Neurospora crassa OR74A: one gene and its partners. The protein of the gene in region 1 purifies or fractionates together with the protein of each later gene. This does not show direct contact. Links are inferred from orthologs where the notes say so. Each region holds a gene or a part of one and is shown in the gene's direction. Other genes may lie near its edges.

What was found.
Region 2: the proteins of NCU09317 (region 1) and NCU01160 purify together in Saccharomyces cerevisiae (affinity purification with western blotting; 3 studies listed by BioGRID, with this or other methods). This does not show direct contact. The link is inferred for Neurospora crassa OR74A from reciprocal best matches to the Saccharomyces cerevisiae genes MEX67 and DBP5.
Region 3: the proteins of NCU09317 (region 1) and NCU02808 purify together in Saccharomyces cerevisiae (affinity purification with mass spectrometry; 3 studies listed by BioGRID, with this or other methods). This does not show direct contact. The link is inferred for Neurospora crassa OR74A from reciprocal best matches to the Saccharomyces cerevisiae genes MEX67 and NSP1.

What each region holds. Positions count from the first base shown.
Region 1 is NC_026501.1:4,263,604-4,269,954, forward strand, and holds NCU09317 (hypothetical protein), read left to right. Parts: upstream 1-2,470; 5' UTR 2,471-2,997; intron 2,998-3,073; 5' UTR 3,074-3,204; coding exon 3,205-3,642; intron 3,643-3,724; coding exon 3,725-5,245; 3' UTR 5,246-5,630; downstream 5,631-6,351. Other genes in the region: NCU09318 (ATP-dependent DNA helicase mph-1), read right to left, coding at 1-1,982. UniProt on the Saccharomyces cerevisiae protein: Involved in the export of mRNA from the nucleus to the cytoplasm.
Region 2 is NC_026505.1:3,083,453-3,089,802, reverse strand, and holds NCU01160 (ATP-dependent RNA helicase dbp-5), read left to right. Parts: upstream 1-2,454; 5' UTR 2,455-2,816; intron 2,817-3,021; 5' UTR 3,022-3,046; coding exon 3,047-3,774; intron 3,775-3,827; coding exon 3,828-4,065; intron 4,066-4,122; coding exon 4,123-4,608; 3' UTR 4,609-5,526; downstream 5,527-6,350. Other genes in the region: NCU01161 (actin polymerization protein Bzz1), read right to left, coding at 1-1,236, 1,318-1,529, 1,607-1,651; NCU01159 (hypothetical protein), read right to left, coding at 5,527-5,784, 5,902-6,054. UniProt on the Saccharomyces cerevisiae protein: ATP-dependent RNA helicase associated with the nuclear pore complex and essential for mRNA export from the nucleus. May participate in a terminal step of mRNA export through the removal of proteins that accompany mRNA through the nucleopore complex.
Region 3 is NC_026501.1:9,051,679-9,058,058, forward strand, and holds NCU02808 (hypothetical protein), read left to right. Parts: upstream 1-2,318; 5' UTR 2,319-2,925; coding exon 2,926-4,776; intron 4,777-4,885; coding exon 4,886-5,083; 3' UTR 5,084-5,433; downstream 5,434-6,380. Other genes in the region: NCU02809 (hypothetical protein), read right to left, coding at 1-762, 914-1,315, 1,406-1,481.

The sequences.
Region 1 (6,351 bases):
AAGGTAAAGCGGCTGCCCTCGCATATCATTCTCTGCATGGTCGCGTAGTTGTCCTTCGCCTCGTTGAATTTGTCTTCCTCTTTCCCTTTCATCAACAAAAGTACAATGTTACCCGCTCTCTTGCGGCCGGTACGACCCATACGCTGAAGCATTCGGATCGGTGACGCTGATGCATCGTAGCAGACAATGAGATCCACTTGGCCAATATCAAGACCCTCCTCGCCAATGGATGTTGCGACCAGAACGTTGTGAGCGCCGTTCTTGAACTTCTCGATCGTCTCAATTTGTTGTTTCTGTTTCATGCCCTCACTCCTCTTCGAGTCCGCTTGTCCAACGAAGACTGTGGCCTTGATAAGGGGTTGCTTGTTGAGAATGCGCACAATCTCTTCGGCACTGTCTCGGTATTCACTGAATACAATGGCTCTGGTATTGGAGCCCTCGCCAGCATCCATGAAGTGGTTGACCAGGGTCTCACAAAGATATTCCAGCTTGGGGTGTCCGAGGAACCCATCAATCTTCATCCAACCCTCAATCATGTCCATCATCTTCTGAAAGTTCTCATCCTCCAAGACTTGCCGCTTGAGCTTTGACCCTTTTCCTCCTTTCTCCTCCTCGGTGGTGCGGAATTCGGCCAGATTATTGTAGAACGGTTTGATTCCATGGAAGTTGAGTAGTTTGATGGAATGCGCCAAACTCTGGAGAATCGCAAATGTGGCTATGACACTGAATTTGGTTCCTTGGTTTACGTGCCTACCCGGACCTGCCATCCAGTCATTCCTGGCTTTCATCAGGCCGTAGGTAGTCAGGCTCATGGGGTCCCTGCCGTAGTATATATTTTGTGAACTCAGCTTGGTCACAAGGGGCTTCAGGGCCTTGGAGAACAAGTCTCTGACTTCCATCATTTCGTCAGAGGGGTCGAATGTTATCGTGTTGATGTCTCTTGAGTGCACATATTGACGAATGTCGATTGACTCTTCGGTTCTGATCTCGACGTGAGAAATGCCCAGATTATCAATGACGTCCTGAACACCTTCGAGAGACGATCCTGGTGTAGCAGTCAGAGCAAGAATTCGAAAGCTCTTGGAGAAACGCCTTAAAAATTCGACCACCTTGACGTATGCATAGTCTCCAGTCGCACGATGCGCCTCGTCAATAACCAGCAGTACGATGGACTTGGGATCGGCATAGCCCTTGGAAAGGTCATTCATTAGTGTTTGGGGTGTCATGAAGAACAGGCGCTTTGTTGCCCATTCGTCCTCACGTAGAACAGGAGGAGTCTCTCCGGTTAGGAGAGTCGCCTGAGATCGCGGGATGCCCGCTATGCTGAGACATGCTTGAACTTGTTGTGAAGCAAGGGGTTTCGTAGGAGCAACAAAGACAGCCTTTGCGGTTTTTGTCCAGCGGATGTAGTTTAGCATGATTGTCGCAGCAATAAATGTCTTTCCCAAACCCGTGGGGAGGGCGACCAATGTGTTGTTGAAGAGGCCATTTTTGACAATGCTGAACTGGTAGTCTCGAATAGGTCCCAGATTCATCGGATAAACCCATGTTTTCATTTCTTCTATGTCAATCTCATGGTGAGTGGGCTGCTCTGGGGGCATATCGGCACGGAATGGTCGATTCGACACCGCTTGCGGGGCGGGTTGCGCATCCTCCTCCAGCGTGCCACCCCATAGTGTCGTCTGACGCAGATTCTTACGCTGGCTGGACTGAGCTAGGGACGGGCGAGACGTTGTCGCTGACGTGGTCGGCTTGCTTGCTGTTTTGGCACGCCCTGTAGCTGTAGCCTGACCCTGCGATACGGTTGGAGTAACGATTCGTCTTGCAGAATCGGATATTGGCCACGCTTGTGCTGGTGGTTTTGCCGACGAGGCAAGCTGCTTGCTGTTGCTGGGGTGATGTGATGTGATGTTGCCGGTGGCCTGGGTGAAGGCCAACATCAAATCCTCATCAGGAATATCGTCAAAGTCATCGTCATCCATGACTTGAGAGTTGTGAGGTTGTAGAAAAGAAAGAACCTTGACGATTCGAGATTCGATGCGCCGATGCTTGGGCAGTTAATACAACCGGACTTTGTTTTCTTGCCTTTTTTTTTTAAACTTCTTGTTCTGGTGATGAAACTTAAGGCTTGTCGGATGAAATTCTTGGAAGTGAAACAATTGACATTCATAACAGTCCGTTTGCATAGGTGAACCGACCCTATCGTCACACAAGCCCGGCCTGATATGAGACGCGTCGCTGTTTTAATGGACGGGCTATTCCCTTGACACGTTCCATCGCCATAGCACGTGAATTGGTGTGGGCAGTCTGGGTGCTGCCGCCTGGGGAGTTCGCAGCAGAACAGCGTCAGAGTGGGGCTGTTGCATCTTGGGTGGGGCAGGTTTGCGTCAAAATCCGATCGCTTGTCTCTGTGGTCCGCTGGAGCCTGGCGCACTGGTCGGAGCTTGGCTCATTGCCTTGAGTTCAAGTTGCATGCTCCTCCACTGCCGCCGCTAAGGTATTTCCTTTTTGGAGGTCCGGCAGGCTGAACCTTCTTTCTTCCATTCTCCAATCCGTCATCGAAACCTTCCTCATTTCTCGACCTTCTCGCGTCGTCAGTTGGCATCGGCAGCCCAACAAACTCTTCAGTACTGACCGGCTGATGACTCTTGCGCATCCTCGTACTCGCCCGTTGCTTCAGAGCTAGCAGCTTCCGTACGCATATTCAACCAACGATCACGAGCGAAGCGGCGGCCTTCTACTTCTACTTCCGTACCTTTGGATCTCCGCGTCGTCTTTGTCGCCCCACCTCCAAGCATCTTTTACATCTTTCTTTACCTCGACAAATCCCTTTAGAGAAGCGCACCTAGACTCTAAGCGAAGTGTCCTTTGACACCTATCTGGGCCACTCTCAAATACAGCGTCCCAAATCCACCCAGCGGTGATCAATCCCCGGTCGGCATCGGCCGCCTGTTTTTCTTGAGCAGGCCGCTCTCCCGCCTAACGGCGACACCAAAGGTAAGCCTCGACTCTGCATCTTAGTACCCTTCCCCAGTTCCCCCGACCACGACCGGAACTTTGACCATCGGGGCAGCGAAGAAGTCGGCGAACAAGGACAACTCGCAACTCCACGACTCACTGTCCTTTCATCAACAACTCGGCGAGAAAAAAAAATCACCCGCAACTCACACCGAACGTTTTCTCTTCAGAATTCAACGAACAACCATGGCACCTCCTACTGGTCCTCGCGCCGGAACTGGAAGGGCTCCTCCTCGTGGACCCCGAGCAACAGGCGGCGGTGGCGGAATCCAGAAGCGTCGCGCAAACCCGAGGACGGACCGAGATGGAGATGTGTCAATGGATGCTCCGGCTGGTGGCTCTGGTAGGGGTGGGTTGGCTTCCGGTGGTCGAGGACGTGGCTCCAAAGATGCTCGAGGTGGAAGAGGTGCGGTGAACTCCCGGACAGCATCCCGGGTCGTGCAGAACCTACAGAACTACGTCAGCGGAGGTCCCGTCGGCAAAACACAGTCCAATATGGCCACACTGAAGATTCACGGTATGAGCAATAGCAAAGCTACCGGCAATCGCGATGGAGGGCTTCGGTCACTTCTCACCTTTCTGGAACGAAAGGCTTCCAAAGACAAAGCAGTTACAATCGGCAAGGTATACTTTCCCATCCACCGACATCCCCAAGCGCGCAATATTCTGCAACTGCGATAACCGACACCTTCTAACCCATCGATAGAGTATAATGGACGGCGATTATGTGTGGATCACGGTCAGAAAAGATGACGCCCCGGAGATCTTGAGGCTCAATGGCTTCACCTATGCCGGTGCACCCCTGACGATTACGGAAACCACCGAGAGGATGCCTCGCCCCGAAGACAAGATTTCCAAGGCTGCTGAGGAGACCAAACAAAAATTGACAGCAGTGCTAGCTGCGCGCTACAATCCAGAGTTGAAGCTGCTTGACTTATCTTCTCTTGGAACCGATCCCATCCTCAGCAGCATGGGCACGTTTGATTCCAAGGATCGGGCCGAAAAGGCCTTCAAGGTCTTGGTAGTTATTGCTAGTCAGCAGTACAAGACCGCTGCCGAAAAGCGTGAAGGGATACAGGCCATTTCCCTTGCTAGCAACGGCCTTAACGACGTCATGCAGGTTTTCACGCTTGCTACGTCACTTCCAGATATCAAGAGACTTGACCTGAGCAGCAACAACCTCGACAGTCTGTCCAAGATCTCCAAGTGGCAGCACCGCTTTCAGTACCTCGAAGAGCTTCATCTCACAGGCAACCCCATCACCACCCAGCCCGACTTCGTGGCAGAACTCATCAAATGGTTCCCATCGCTACAGAACATCAACGGACAAATTGTTCGCAGCCCACAAGAGGTTACTGAGGCCCTCAAGGGCATGCACCCCACGCCACTACCGCAGTTCCCCTCCAACCTACGGGACGGGGAGGCCAATGTGGCGAGCATCTTTGTCCAAGTTTTCTTCCCCATGTTCGACAGCGACAGAGCTCGCCTCGCCGCTGAGTTCTACGACGACGACTCGTGGTTTTCGATTCAAGCCATTGCCAATTCTGGTCGTAATCTTCCTTGGAAAACTTACCTCAAATACTCCCGCAACGTTCACAAATTGGGAGAGAAGAATCCAGCAACGGTACAACGTCTCTTCACCGGAGGAAATCTCATTGCGGACATGTGGAAGGCTCTCCCCAGTACTCGCCATCCAAGCATGGAGAACCCTGGTGCCTGGCTCATCGACTGCCACACCTTCCCCAACCTCGCGGACCCCACCGGCCACGGCTTCGCTACGGGATTGCTCATCACCGTCAATGGCCAGTTTGAAGAGTCCGATACTACAGAAAACCTCTACGGAAAGCGCACCTTCACGCGCACGTTCATTCTTGGACCCAGCAAGCCGAGCAACCCGCCGCCGGTGCACCCATACCGGGTTATTAGCGATCAACTCACCCTTCATGACTGGACACCCGCGGAGACACCTGCTGGTCAGGCCCCTGTCGCCAACCAGGTCCCGCAGGTTCCGGTTACCAACGCTGTGCCTCCAGCAGAACCTGTCATGTTGGATGATGCCACGAAGAACCAGCTGATTCAGGAGGTGATGAAGCGGACTGGCATGACAGCAGAATACTCAGAGTTGTGTCTCAGTGGCACTGCCAACTGGAACTTTGAGCTGGCACTCAAGTCATTCGAGGAGCAGAGGGCGAACTTGCCGCCCACGGCCTTTATCAACGCTGTCTAGGGGACAGCGCAGGTCACCAGCGTCAGCATGGTTTGTTAGTTCATGGTGGATCAGCGCTAGTTGGGTAAATACCCTCTGCCTGGATGAGTTGGAGACAAAGGAAAAGGAAGACAAAAACTACTGAAAGCCAAGGAACGAAGACTGGGAAAGAGGAAAGGGTTTAAGGGTCAAGGATGAACTTTGTACAATACTTGCATTGCCATACTATCTCAAGGGAGCAACGGAATGGGTCGGTTAGCGGAATTCTTATAAGGCGGTCACTCGACTTGATATTGCGGAAACTTAGCGTGCGTTAACAATTGAGATACCTGGAGCTCTTTTGGGCTTTGACCAAAGAGTCTCCCACATTCACGGTTTTTTTTCATCTAATTATAATCTCTTTTATTAATATTTTCTCCTATTTGGGTGAGGACGCTTACGGAAGATGCTCGAGCGTAATTGGTACACAACGTTCATGCTGGTCAGGCCCAGTAGCTTAACCACCGTGAAATTGGTAACCACGGTTGTGATAAAGTACGAGATCACACAGCTAATAAGATCTCGAAGCCGCGCGCCATTCTTGGCGATTGGGGTTTGGTGGTGAGCATCTGATTGTTGGTTTCCCCATCATGCGACGTTTCTTGAATCGCTGCTCCACTGCGGCCACTGCCACCCCGGCAGTGGATCGGTACCTGCATCTGTCGATCTTTCATAGGGCGGCTTTGGGAGAAAAATGCTGAGTGGTCCTGGTACGATGAGCAGTCATCATCACCTGTTTGGCCTCGTCCAATGGGCGCCGGCAAGAGTTTTATCGGATGAGGGGTAGTATGGGCGCTTACTTGTATTGATCTTGGTTGTTACGACTTACGATGGGGAAACAATCATGTTCGACACTTGAACCTGAGTGAGAGCCAGGAATAAATTTTCCGTTGAGGATTGGCTTTTTCTACGCTTTTCGCTTTTCGGCGATCGGTTAGGTGATCGGTTATCTATCATCAGTGGGAGTGATCGACATTTCATATGCTGGCTAAAGGTATGTGATCGATTAGATGAAAGACGACCAAGCGGATGTGAATACTTATATAATCGCGGGAGTTGCGACTTGTCATCCTTCAATTGAAGCCTTG
Region 2 (6,350 bases), on another chromosome or scaffold:
GACCGAGTGAGATCAGGCATCTCGTTAACATGGCTCGACGATGTGGAAGGCTTAAGCAGCGTGTTGGCCAGCTCTTGTCGTTCTTGCTTATATTTTTTACGCTCCTCCTTGTTCAGCTCCCCTGGACACTCGGCCGGTACCTTCATCTCGCATTTGCTATGGCAAGTATACCCGCAGTCTCGGCAATCGAAGCCCTTGGCTGACAAGCCCCATATTCTCTCTCCGCACAGATCGCAGTTAGTGGGAATCTTGAAGGTTTGCGACTTAAAATTGTGGCTCTTGGCACCCAGTGTCACGTCACCAACGGCTGAAGTAATGGTGGACGTCTCGACCTCTGCTGTCAGCCGCTTCCGGTCGACCTGATGCAGGTCCTCTTGCTGCAAGAAGAGCTGCGTGAGAACCAAGAACTCATCCTGTGTTTGCTCTGTCCCTTCAAGCACCCTCTGCTTCGCTCGCTTGGTTGTTTCCACCTCTCGCCTCTTCTTATCTACCTCACGCCGCAATTCTCCAAGTTGGCCCTTTGACTTATTCAGCACATTGCGCAAATAGATTTTGGCTGGCTCGTCCGTAACCATGGAATCGTCATCGTGCCATACTGGGCTTGGCTCAAACACCTTGTCGGGAGGCTCCTGGAAGGCACCGGTGTTGTGCTGCATGTACATCATCGAATCTAGCTGAGGTTCATTCCGCACAATCTCCTTGGCCATGTGGTCAACCTCACCACTGCAGTTCTGAAGCATGGAAAACTCAAGCTGAGTGGCTTCGGACCAAAACCCGTTCAACTTCATTGTGCGGAACTCGGCAAGATCTTGCAGGTTGTCCATAACTTCGGGAAGGAATTCGTGGTAGTGCTTCTCCTTTTGCTTGTTGGTAACGTTGATGGCGATCAGGTAGGTGTTCTTCATGTTGTTCATCTCTTGTAGCTGGTGTTGAAACGAACTCTGCGCCTTTGCCTTGTCGAATGCCGACTCTGACTTTTTGCGTTTGCTCTCAACATCCTGGCATACCGAGTCGTACTTGGTCTTGACCTTCTGCAGTGCGGCATACTGGGCTTCTTTTTCTTTTTCTAGCTTTTCGGCATATTCGACTTGGCGCTTGCGTTGCGCGTCCAGTTTAATGGCCACTTCTTTGATCGGTTCCGCAATCTTGGTGACAAACTCGTTCGCGAGTCGATCGTGTTCGCTGGCGACCAGTTCAAGCTTGGTTAGAATGGTAGACCATGTAGTCATCGAGGCGCTAGTTACACGGAAACCGGTCAGTTAGCTGGAATAGAACACCTAGGCAGATGTGACCATGTTCCAAAGAGCCTTGTCGTACCTCTCAAGGGACCCAGGGGTCATTGTGGGGGTGTCGCCGACACTCAGGCTCGTTGACTTTTTGGCTTTCTTGTCATAGTACTTCTTTGCTATTGCGCTCAGCTCGGCGCTATATCGCTTCTCGGCGGCGCTCCTTTCACGGAAGAAAGCCTGCACATCGTCAAAGAAGGCAATGTTGTTGGCCACATAGACATTGGCCGGTTTAAAGCCATCCTGCATGCGGGCATGTTAGTCCAAGGCCACCAGCACATGTTCAAGCCTCTGAGTAGGCCAGGAGAGATGAAGACAACCTTGAGCACGGTGCCAAAGGATGGCGCGATTTCGCCCTCGGCCATAGTTTGTTGGAGGAGCTTCTTTTAATATTGAGAGTTGTCGTCGTGGATAACCATGCAAACCAGTAGTCGGGTATACATGCAATCTAGACTTCGGGAGAGAATGAGTGGGACTGCTCCGTCGGCTGTCGTCGTGTCTGAATCGATGATGAATCGTGCTGTGCTGGTCCTGGGTATGTACAAGTAGCGGCAGGAACCCGTTGGGTCTTTGGAGGAATGGGCGGGACTGGCGGAGCGTTTGAGTGTTACTCCAAGCAGAGATAGAAGAAGCACGGCAGATACAGCGTTAAAAGAACAAGCAACTAAGTAGTAGAGCAAGAAAGCAAGAGACGGTAGGAGGTACCCCTCCAACAGCTGAAGGTGTGCTATGTAATCGTTCGGCTGGTTATCCCGGTCCGTACACCGTAGCCCGAGCAGCCGGCAAGACCTGAGTTGGGTACCTACCTAGAGGTAGGTAGTAATGATAACTGGGGTGCCGGTGGCTAACCTCGAGGTACTCAATTCAAGAAGGCCCCAGCTGTGCCGTCGGACCTGCGGCTTGGTCGGTGCTAGTGCGGTCTAGGCAGTATGCGTTAACTGCATGAAGATTGGTTCCGAAGAAGCATTCGTTCGTTACGTAACTCTAGGGATATGTTAGAGGTAAGAATTGGAATTCAAAAGACGGAAAGAGAAACCTCGTTTGGCCAAAGAAACAACTGAACTAAACACCTATGGACTTAAAGCCTCCTTAAAGAGACAGCGGGCGGGACCCCGGCCACCTGCACTAAGCCACCCGCTGCTGGCTCGTGCTTTGACCAGGCATTCTGGCCTCCGGCTTCTGCCAGGGCATCAAGCGTTAATTCCAGGGCAGGTACAGTACCAACTACACTACGGCACTACTTCTACACTAGAGGTAGAACAGCAAGTAGGTACGTATACTGCGTACACTAGTGTAGAGGAAGGTGCAGATGCCCCACTATCACTCTGGTTTGATGGCGTCGCGACTTCCTCTCAAAGTCAGCCCTGCCGCTGCCAGAATCTCTTTCTGCCAGCTTCCTTTTCCTTTCGCATTCCTTCTCCCGCCCACAAACCACTGCTGGCAGTTGCTTTGTGGTTACCAACAGCTCAAGATTTCCATCGGATCTCTTAAAAGAACATTTTGTTTACTCCAACAATAACTCCCTCCAAGGTAAGCTTGTCAGCTTGCGCCTCCCCGTCCTTGCGGCCTGGGCCTGACGCGTTGAATTGGGACGCGGGGCATCAAGACCTGACGAAGCGCAGCTTGAAACTTGACTCACCCACGTCTCGGCTTCTTGCTGTAACCGGAATATCCAAGGGGGGGCGAAAAAAATATAACGTATCGTACTGACCGTGCGATTTTTGATTCTTGCTAGCAGTCATCCTAATTACGACGTCATAATGGCTGATCTCGCCAGCCGCATCACCAAGCCCGACGAGGCTCCGGCTGCCGCCCCCGAGGCTGCGCCCGTGTCTGCCCCTGCGTCCGAAGAGCCCAAGGCCCCCGAGAACGAGACCTCCATCGAGGAGAGCCAGAGCAACCTTGTCAAGAACGAGTACGAAGTCGAGATTAAGTTGAGCGATCTTCAGAATGACACCGAAAGTCCTCTCTACTCCGTCAGCTCGTTCGATGAGTTGGGTCTCCCCGAGGCTGTCAACCGCGGTCTGCTCGCCATCAACTTCAAGAAACCTTCCAAGGTCCAGGAGAAGTGCCTTCCTCTCATGCTCTCCGACCCTCCCCGCAACATGATTGCCCAGTCTCAATCCGGTACTGGAAAGACTGCCGCTTTCGTCCTTACCGTTCTCTCCCGCATCGACCTGTCCAAGCCCCACCAGCCTCAGGCCCTTCTGCTTGCTCCCAGCAGAGAGCTTGCCCGCCAGATCCAGACCGTTGTCCAGACCATCGGTCAGTTCTGCGAGAATTTGATTGTCGAGGCTGCTATTCCCGGTGCCATCTCGCGCGAGACGGGTGTTAGAGGCAGCGTCGTCGTGGGAACTCCGGGAACTGTCATGGACCTTGTCAAGCGCAGGCAGTTCGATATCTCGCAGTTGAAGGTTCTTGTTATTGACGAGGCCGACAACATGCTTGACCAGCAGGGTCTGGGTGACCAGTGTGTCCGCGTCAAGAAGTAAGTTCATCTTTGGGCACTAGTGTTATGCGACCTTTACTGACATTAAGTAGCATGCTCCCCAAGACCATTCAGATCCTCCTTTTCTCTGCGACGTTCCCAGACAAAGTTTTGAGATTCGCCGAGCGCTTCGCACCCAACGCCAACCAGATGAAGCTCAAGCATAAGGAGCTTACGGTTAAAGGTATTTCGCAGATGTTCATGGACTGTCCTACCGAGAAGGACAAGTACGACATTCTTTGCAAGCTGTATGGTCTCATGACCATTGGTTCTTCCGTCATCTTCGTCCGGGTATGTTTTTTCCCCTCGAATACTGTTGTAGACATTTGCTAACGTGCTTTCTTCCAGACGAGAGAGACAGCCAACGAGATCCAGAAGCGCATGGAAGCAGATGGTCACAAAGTTTCGGCCCTTCACGGCGCCTACGAAGGCCAAAGCCGTGATGTTCTTCTCGATGAATTCCGCTCCGGACGTTCCAAGGTCCTCATCACCACCAACGTTCTGGCACGTGGTATTGATGTTTCCAGTGTGTCCATGGTCATTAACTACGACATTCCGATGAAGGGACCTGGCGAAAGGGAGCCGGACGCAGAGACATACCTTCACCGTATTGGTCGTACCGGTCGTTTCGGTCGTGTTGGTGTCTCGATCAGCTTTGTCCACGACCGTAGGAGCTTCGAAGCGCTCTCCCAGATCGCTCAGTTCTACGGAATCGACCTTATCCAGCTGAATCCCAACGACCTGGATGATACCGAGAGGAAGGTGCAAGAAGTTATCAAGTCGAGCAGGGCCCAAGCGGAGTACGTTCCCAGCGCTACTGATTCGGCCGTTTAGGTAGTTGGCCGATCAATGAGTGTTGAGGGGGAGTCGTCGTCGTTGAAGTCGTTGAAATCGTTCTTCTCTTCGGCGCCGCCGCCGCCGGAGACTCAGCAGTTTAGCGGATGGTGGTGAGCTAATACACAAGGAGTTTATCAACTGAACCATCTAGCGTAGGCGAGGGATCATGTCTTTTCATCGTTGCTGCGACATCAAGATGTTGGGAAGCCCAGAAGGAAAGGGTATGTGGGAGTGAACTCATGATGCGCATATTCCGTCATTCAAAATGGGAATCGGGAGTTTAGATCAAAGAGATACCAACAAGGGGCGAAAGATAAATAACTTTTGCAGTCAGCAAGATTGCTCAAGACGCGTTCGATACTACCCGACGTTGATACACCGGTAGACGCCAGGGTATCACGAAAATGTCAAGTGCATTGTGTCTCGTATGGAAGGGGGGGCAAAGAACGCTTATCTCAACCGCCGTGCTATACATTTATGCCCACCTCACGACGAAAGTCACAACACGTTGGGCTCAGCATCGCCCTCGGTACCATAACTTTACTTCGTGGTCCGAGTCCAGCTGGATAGTGGCGTAGTTCCCCTCCCTCTTTTTGTCTCCAGTCGTTGGGAAGCTGTTTACTCAAGACTGGTAGCATGTGGATGTGGCTGTGCAGTGCATCATGGTGGCTTGGGGGATGAAGACAACCTCAAGGCAGTGTGGTGTACAGAACCACTGGATCGTTGAGGCGAGTTTCGTGGCTGGTGAGAATCTGGGGGCAGTACCCGAACGGGAATAGCGTTGTTGATTTGTTAGCGCCCACCACCCTTAGGCGTGTCCGGGGTCCAGCCCACAACGAAGTACTTTTAAGCGCCGACCAAGCGCGTGTCCGGCGTCAACCTCTTACTCGCCCACCTCTTCCCAGCTCCAAGCCTTCACAGCCATACATCTATCTGCGGATGTTGTTCCTGCATACCACCTTTGGCCAGTCGACTGGAGAACCGTACCAGCCATGTGCAATCCCGGATACTATGGCGCCCGAAATAGACCTGCCATCTTTTCAGACCAATAAGAGGACGGCGGACCTGGATTTCGCCCAGGACAAGTGCCTCTCCCCAGATCGCTTGTTCCTCTTCGCGGCTCCATTCGTCAGCCGCCTTGTGCAAGGGACATGAACACCGTCGAAGCCCTGCCTGCAATGGAACGTCTCTCATGTCCTCCAAGCAATGATGCCATAGCGAGAGGTCCAATAAACCCCAGTTGGCGATTGGGGCTCATCAATTATCGGGTACAAGGTACTCACTACTCACGTCCTCAGGCAGGTTCAGCGCGTCTCTGCGGGTGAACGGCATGGGTACGACTTCAGAGTTATTGGCCGCGGCCAGGATGGCGAGGAGATTGCCGGCATCGTTAAGCGCAGCACACCGGGACTTTACTGCTTTTGACTTTGAGATATACATCATGATGGCATGGCTCGTGAGTTCAGGAAGTCTGGTTACCTTGTAAAGGACCCCGAGTGTGACACATGGCGTTCAAGCCTCATCCAAGACTTTCCTCTCCCGGGTTCTCTCTTTTCTTTCTCAGGTACTATCTCCATCCTCCTTCAATATCATCATTTCCACATCTCTCTTTCTTGTGTGTTTTCTGTGTGTTTCCTATCCTATCACATTCGATATCCGTTTCATAATCAGTATTTCCCGACATCAAGCCCACCCCCCCTTTGGTCGCTTCTTACATCACGATATAATCCATGCATTCG
Region 3 (6,380 bases), about 4.8 Mb from region 1:
GTGCTGGAGCTGAGAACCCTTCGGCTTCTTGGAAGTCATCGTCGTCAAAGCCGGCATCGTCAAAGTCGCCAAAGTCAGCATCGTTGTTGGCCTCGGCTCCCTCCTCAAAGTCGTCAAAGTCATCCCCAAAGTCATCGGCGCCAGCCGGAGCTGGCTCAGCAAAGTCGTCCCCAAAGTCGTCATCACCAAACCCGTCATCGTCGGGGGCTTTATCCCCTGCTTCAGCAAATCCGTCGTCGTCGTCGTTGTCGAACCCATCTTTTTCAACAGGCTTCTCCTCTTTCTGGTCAAAGCTGACATCGTCCTTCTTGTCCTCTTCTGGCTCGACCTTCTTCTCGTTCTCTTGACTGGGTTCTGCCTCGTCGAAGTGGTCCTCTGTGTCTTCTTCCTTTGTATCTTGCGTCTCAAGCTCTTCGCTGGCATCCTCGAACTCGTCTCCTTTCAATGCTTCTTCGGTGTCGCGGTCTTTTGACTGTTCCTCCTCGTGCTTCTCGTCCTCCACCTCTCCATCTTGAGCCTGCTCAGTCTTGACCTCTACATTCTCCTCCTCCTTCTTGGATTCATCTTCATCGGCGTCTTCGTCGTCGGCGGTCTTGGCGTTGTCTCGTACGACATTGTCGTGCGCGTCATCTTTTGCCTCCTCCTTTTCTAGAAGACTGGGCCCCAATGAGGGCGAGTCAGGGGATGGCTGGTCTAGATCAGATGACGAGTCTCTAGAATGGATCGAGGCGGGACTCTTTAATGCAGGTGGTATTGGTGTATCTACGCAGGAAAACGTAAAGTCAATACAAAGGAGATCTTGTATAATTTGCTGGCTCAAAAAAAAACAAACAAACAGGCATGTGCTTGTGAAAGTGTGTGTGTGTGCGCGCGCGTGTGTGTGTGGCTAGAAAGAAGTGCTACGCATCCGTACCATTGTCACCACCCTTCTCATGCTCGACCTTTTGCCCATCCGCCTTGACAAGCACGTCGGGAGGACTGTCAACCCTGTGCCTCGCTTCGATCTCATGGTGGGTGACGGCACCAGTGCTATCTGGCGTCTCCTCCACTACGGTCATGGGAATGGGGCGCCCGCCTGGAGTGGACGGCCGGCGCTGGTCATGCTCCTCGGTCGAGAGCTTGGTGTCTGGGTCTGGGATAATGGCAAATTCATCCGGCTTCGCGTCCCCTTCCCTCATAGAATACGCCTTGGTCCCCGGGACCTCTCCATACGCCGGCTTGTCGTCTACTCTCTCGACTCTTGTTCGCGGGATGGGCGAGGAGGGAGCTTTGGGAGAAGAGATGGCATCGGAGTAGTGATCTTCGGTGTCGGAGCCTGTTGTCGCGTAGAATGAATGGTTAGTTGGATATCCATGTGCCGACTTTGTCCAGAGGTCTCCCAAGTTCCCCATCAGCTGTAACCTACCAGGTAGCTCATGAGCGCCCGGGTCCATGGTCCCCTGCCTCTCGGGAGGCGACAGACTGTTCCTGCGCGAAGCCATTGTGATCTCGAAGCGTAGTCGCGGCGGTCTATACGATCAAAGAACAAGAGGATTTCCGACTATGGTGAGTGCTGAAGGAAGCGCAGAAATGTATATGGTAGGTAGGAAGCAAGATAGGTGTATGTATATGTATATGGATATGGATATGGATATGGGAGGATCGGGATCGGGGATCGGGGGGCCAAGGTGAGGACTGAGGAGTGATGTAGTTGGTGTGGGGTGCTACAGTATGTTTACTGCTGTGAGGGACAGGACTGGAGTGTCCTATAACAAGACGGGAGTAAGCCGACTCTTATACTCTGCAGGAGATAGGTCAATTGCACGCAGCAGATGGCCTGAGGTCAAAGTGAACTGAATCAAGATTGGGTATGCACACAGACGTTGCGGCTGACTTGTGGCATCCCAATGTCCAGACGATGGACAGCAATGTGTGTGGAGAGAGACGAGAGAAAGGAACAGCTTCCGGATGGCCTAGAGTTAGTCTAGAGGATGGGCTCACGATGGCCTAATCTAGAACATGGGGTAACCACCACCCCAAGCTTTCCGAGACGACTGAACGGGGCTCCTGCTTCTTGCTCGGCTACCCTGGGACGGTGCGGTACGGTACGGTACGGTATGGTACTAAGGTACCGCCGTGTCCGGAAACTGTATGGTAACTCGCTGCGTAATGTGCTGCAACCAGACGGTCCAGTCAGAATGCAGAAGAGCATCACGGCAAGTGGAAAGTCAGCACTTCGCTTCAGTTTATGAGGCCCGCCCCGTCATTGCTCAAGTTCTCCGTCAGTTGTCGAACTGCCGTCAAGCCACATATTGATTGGCCGTGCACGCTTGGCACTTGCTAGTAAAATGTTAGACGGGGTAGGTGAGGTGAGGCTGACCACTTCACCTGGGGCTGACTCGTTGCAGTGGTGACTGGAGTGCTCCAATAAGCGGGAAATGCTTGGCCTTGTTGAGTGCGCGTCCGGGTCCCCAGAAGGGGAAAAGCCCAGGCGCGCTGCAGCACCTCCAAAAAAGTGGAAAGGCCTGTCGCGACGGACGGAACCTTGACAAACAGAGACCGAGAGACTGAGTGACGCTGCCACACTTTCTTTGCTTTCTCCAATCCACGCCCAAACGACGTCCACGTCCACTCCACCAAACGGATTCCGAACCGACGTCCAAAACTCGCGATCCGATAACCACGGCTGGACCATTGCATCACTTACTCAAAACCGAGATCGCGCCGATCTTCCTCTTCGCATTTCAACGAATCGTTGCTTGGGTTTCCGCGCGCTCCCTGTTGTTGTTGAGGTAACCGCAACAGCCTTGGGAAGTGGGACGCTGTTGTTGACTTTCTAGATTTTGGTTGACGACGACTACCCAACCACCAACGCCTCATCCATCCATCCAACCAACCAACCCCGAAACCTCGACATCATATCGTCAGCCTCACATAATCGCAATCATGTCATTCTTCGGTACACCAAGCTCCAGCGCGGCCTCGGGCCAACCAGCAACAACTGCTACATCCGGTGGTCTCTTCGGAGCCTCCTCCTTCGGCACCCCAGCAGCGAGCTCGACACAGCCAGCCGGTAGCTTGTTTGGCGCTAAGCCTACAGATGCCTCGAAACCTGGAGGACTATTCGGAGCCAATACCACCTCGACTACACCTTCGCTTTTCGGCTCTGCTTCCAACACTGCCGGAGGAGGCAGCACGACGCCTGGCGCAGGCTTGTTTGGAAACACCACTGCCAACACATCGACAACCCCCGCCGCTGGTGGCTCGAACTTGTTTGGTGGCGGGGCCAGCACCACACCCGCAACAGGAGCTCCTTCGGGAGGTCTGTTTGGAAACAATGCTTCTACTACTCCGGCTACCGGTGGTCTCTTCGGAGCTGGCGCCAACTCTCAGACGACGCCGGCTAAGACCTCGTTTGGACTAGGATCGACTACCCCAGCCGGTGCACCACCTGCTGCTGACGCTTCCAAGGCCGCGCCCTCTCTCTTTGGTGCTACCCAGCCTGCCTCTGGCAACCTCTTTGGAGGAGGAGGAGCCTCGAGTACCCCGACCACAACCCCTGCCCCCACCTCGGGAACAACACCATCTCTGTTCGGAGCGAAGCCAGCCGAGACCACCACCTCTGGCACCACTTCTGGTCTCTTTGGCGCCAAGCCAGCCGAGCCTGCGTCCAGCACAACTCCCGCGACGACAGCCACTTCCGGATCTACTCTCTTTGGCGCGAAGCCTGCGACCAGCGGTGGCAGCCTGTTTGGCGGAGCCTCGACAACCCCGGCTACGACATCGACCACGACCACCACAGCACCAGCAACTTCCGGCCTCTTTGGTGCCAACACAAGCAAGCCGGCCGAAGCCGCAAAGCCAGCTACGGGTGGTCTGTTCGGCGCCACTCCTGCTACCTCAGCTCCTGCCACCTCTACCACCACTGCTGCTTCCGGCAGTCTGTTCGGCGCCAACAAGGATGCTACCACTACCTCTACTGCCCCAGCATCAGGAGGCTTGTTTGGATCGACTACGCCTTCGACGACCACAACCACGGCGCCTGCTCCTTCGTCTTCGACCACAACTAGCGGCCTCTTCGGTGCGGCCACCACCAAGCCCGCCACTACCACAGCGGCCACCACCACTGCCGGTGGGAGCACCACCGCCACTGCTGGAACCACCAGCAGTCTCTTTGGAGGAGGAGCCAAGCCTGCGGACACCACCACCTCCAAAACCACCACCAACAACACCACTACTGCCGCCGGCACCACCAGCACCACCGGCAACCTCGCCTCCACGACCACCGGCCCCACTTCTACTCTCCCGCGGTTGAAGAACAAGACCATGGATGAAATCATCACCCGCTGGGCCACCGATCTCTCCAAGTACCAGAAGGAATTCAAGTCGCAAGCCGCCAAGGTGGCCGAATGGGACCGCCTCCTGGTCGAAAACGGCGAGAAGATCCAGAAGCTGTACACCAGCACGTACGAGGCCGAAAAGGCCAGCAACGAGATCGAGCGCCAGCTCTCGGGCGTCGAGTCGCAGCAGGACGAGCTGACCGCGTGGCTGGACCAGTACGAGGCACAGCTGGAGGAGTTGTTCAAGAAGCAGCAGCTTGGATCCGGCGGCGAGTCAAAGGCTGCTGGCGGTGTTGGCGACGGCTTGGGCCCCGATCAGGAGCGCGAGAGGACGTATAAGCTTGCCGAGAAGCTGACGGATAGGCTGGATGAGATGGGCAAGGATTTGGCCAAGATGATCAAGGAGATAAATGATATGACGGGCACGTTGAGCAAGGGGAGCAAGCCTGATGATCCGGTATGTTTTTCTCTCTCCCTTTTTTTTCTCCTCCTTTTTCTCTCCTTTTTCTCCATTTTTCCCTTATTTTATCCAATCACTAACGCACACGATAAACAAAACACAACAGCTCAGCCAAATCGTCCGTGTCCTCAACGGTCACCTTCACCAGCTTCAGTGGATCGACCAAAACGCCGCCGACCTCCAAGCCAAGGTGGCCGCTGCCCAAAAGGCTACCAGCGGCATGGGTGCCCACCAAGGCGTCAACGAGTCGGATGCCGCTCAGAGCTTTTACCGCTCGTACAGGGCCGGTGGTGTGAACAGGTGAAGGGAAAGGGAAGGGAAGGGAAGGGAAATAAATGGGCTTTGATGATGCTGTATTGTAGGAAGCTAAAGTAAAGTGAAGTATGAGTGAAAGAGAAAGAGAAAGAGGCTGAAGAATCGGATGGCGGCGAACTTGTCTGTGTGTGTGTGTGTGTGTTCAGTTTTGAGTACCCTACCTACCCTAGTTTGTTGGTTTGTTGGTTTGTTGGTTTGTTTTGTTAGTCTGTGAAAGACCATCATGGTATGATTTGAAACGTCTTGTATATGTATCGTGGCTGTGGATGGGGGGGGATCGATGATGTTAATTTACGTAGCTGAGATCTGTCTGTCTGTCTGGCTTTGGGATGGGTTAGGAGACAAGAAAAAAGGCTATGCTATGCTAGGCTGGGCTAGGCCACTTATTCTAGGTTGTGGAAGCAAAAATCAATAAACAAGATGGGTTCAAGGTAATGGCCACAGTCCAAAAAGGGGTTCATTACATCTGGAAGGGAGTTCATGTGTCTGTTTTTTTCGATATATTGTCTTCATATGATGTCGAGTGAATATCATACATATCGGACTGCCGAACTGTACATATAGGTACCGACTGCCAGGAGTTTCATTTTGAAAACCGAGACGTAGAGCATCATTGTTGTGACTCAGAACGTCGGTGGGTATCAGTGAAATTTCTTATAAGACGGACTTGAAGTTGTTAATACTTCAGTAAAGTACCGTCCCGTCTGCTTTCTTTTTCATGTTCCATGTAAGTGGCATTAAGATAATGAAGAGTCTTGAGTCTGGATCAAAGTAACTAGGTTTTGAAAAAAAAAATTAGTTACGGAACTACGTAGGCTGGCTTGCTTTCCTGATAACTTCATTACTCTTCAGCCGCATTATGAGATTCTGGTTCAAGGGCAAGCCGATGAACCCAATATCGCCCCTACTGCAGCACAGGAACTGTTCGACTCGTTTTGGACTTTCTCATAAGCTCGGTTCTGTCACGGTTTTGCTTTAGACACTTGTTCGTCCCATTGATGCAACTTGTGAGGTCCATAGGTCCCCCGGTCGTGATTTTGTGATCATCGATCATGGCTTTGCTCGCTATATTGCTACAAGGGGTAAGTTTGAGATATGTGTAAGATGACACTCATCCTCGGCGCGCCGTCCGTCCCCGTAGCCCAAGTCCCATCCTTTCTTAACCCCCCCAAATCCTTGGCCCCTTCTCATTTCATTGCATTCATACTGCGTAGGCGTAGTGGCGTGTGTAGCGATGGGACGTCGCGAGAGGGAATGATAATAAGCAGAGGAAGAAGAAAAAAAAA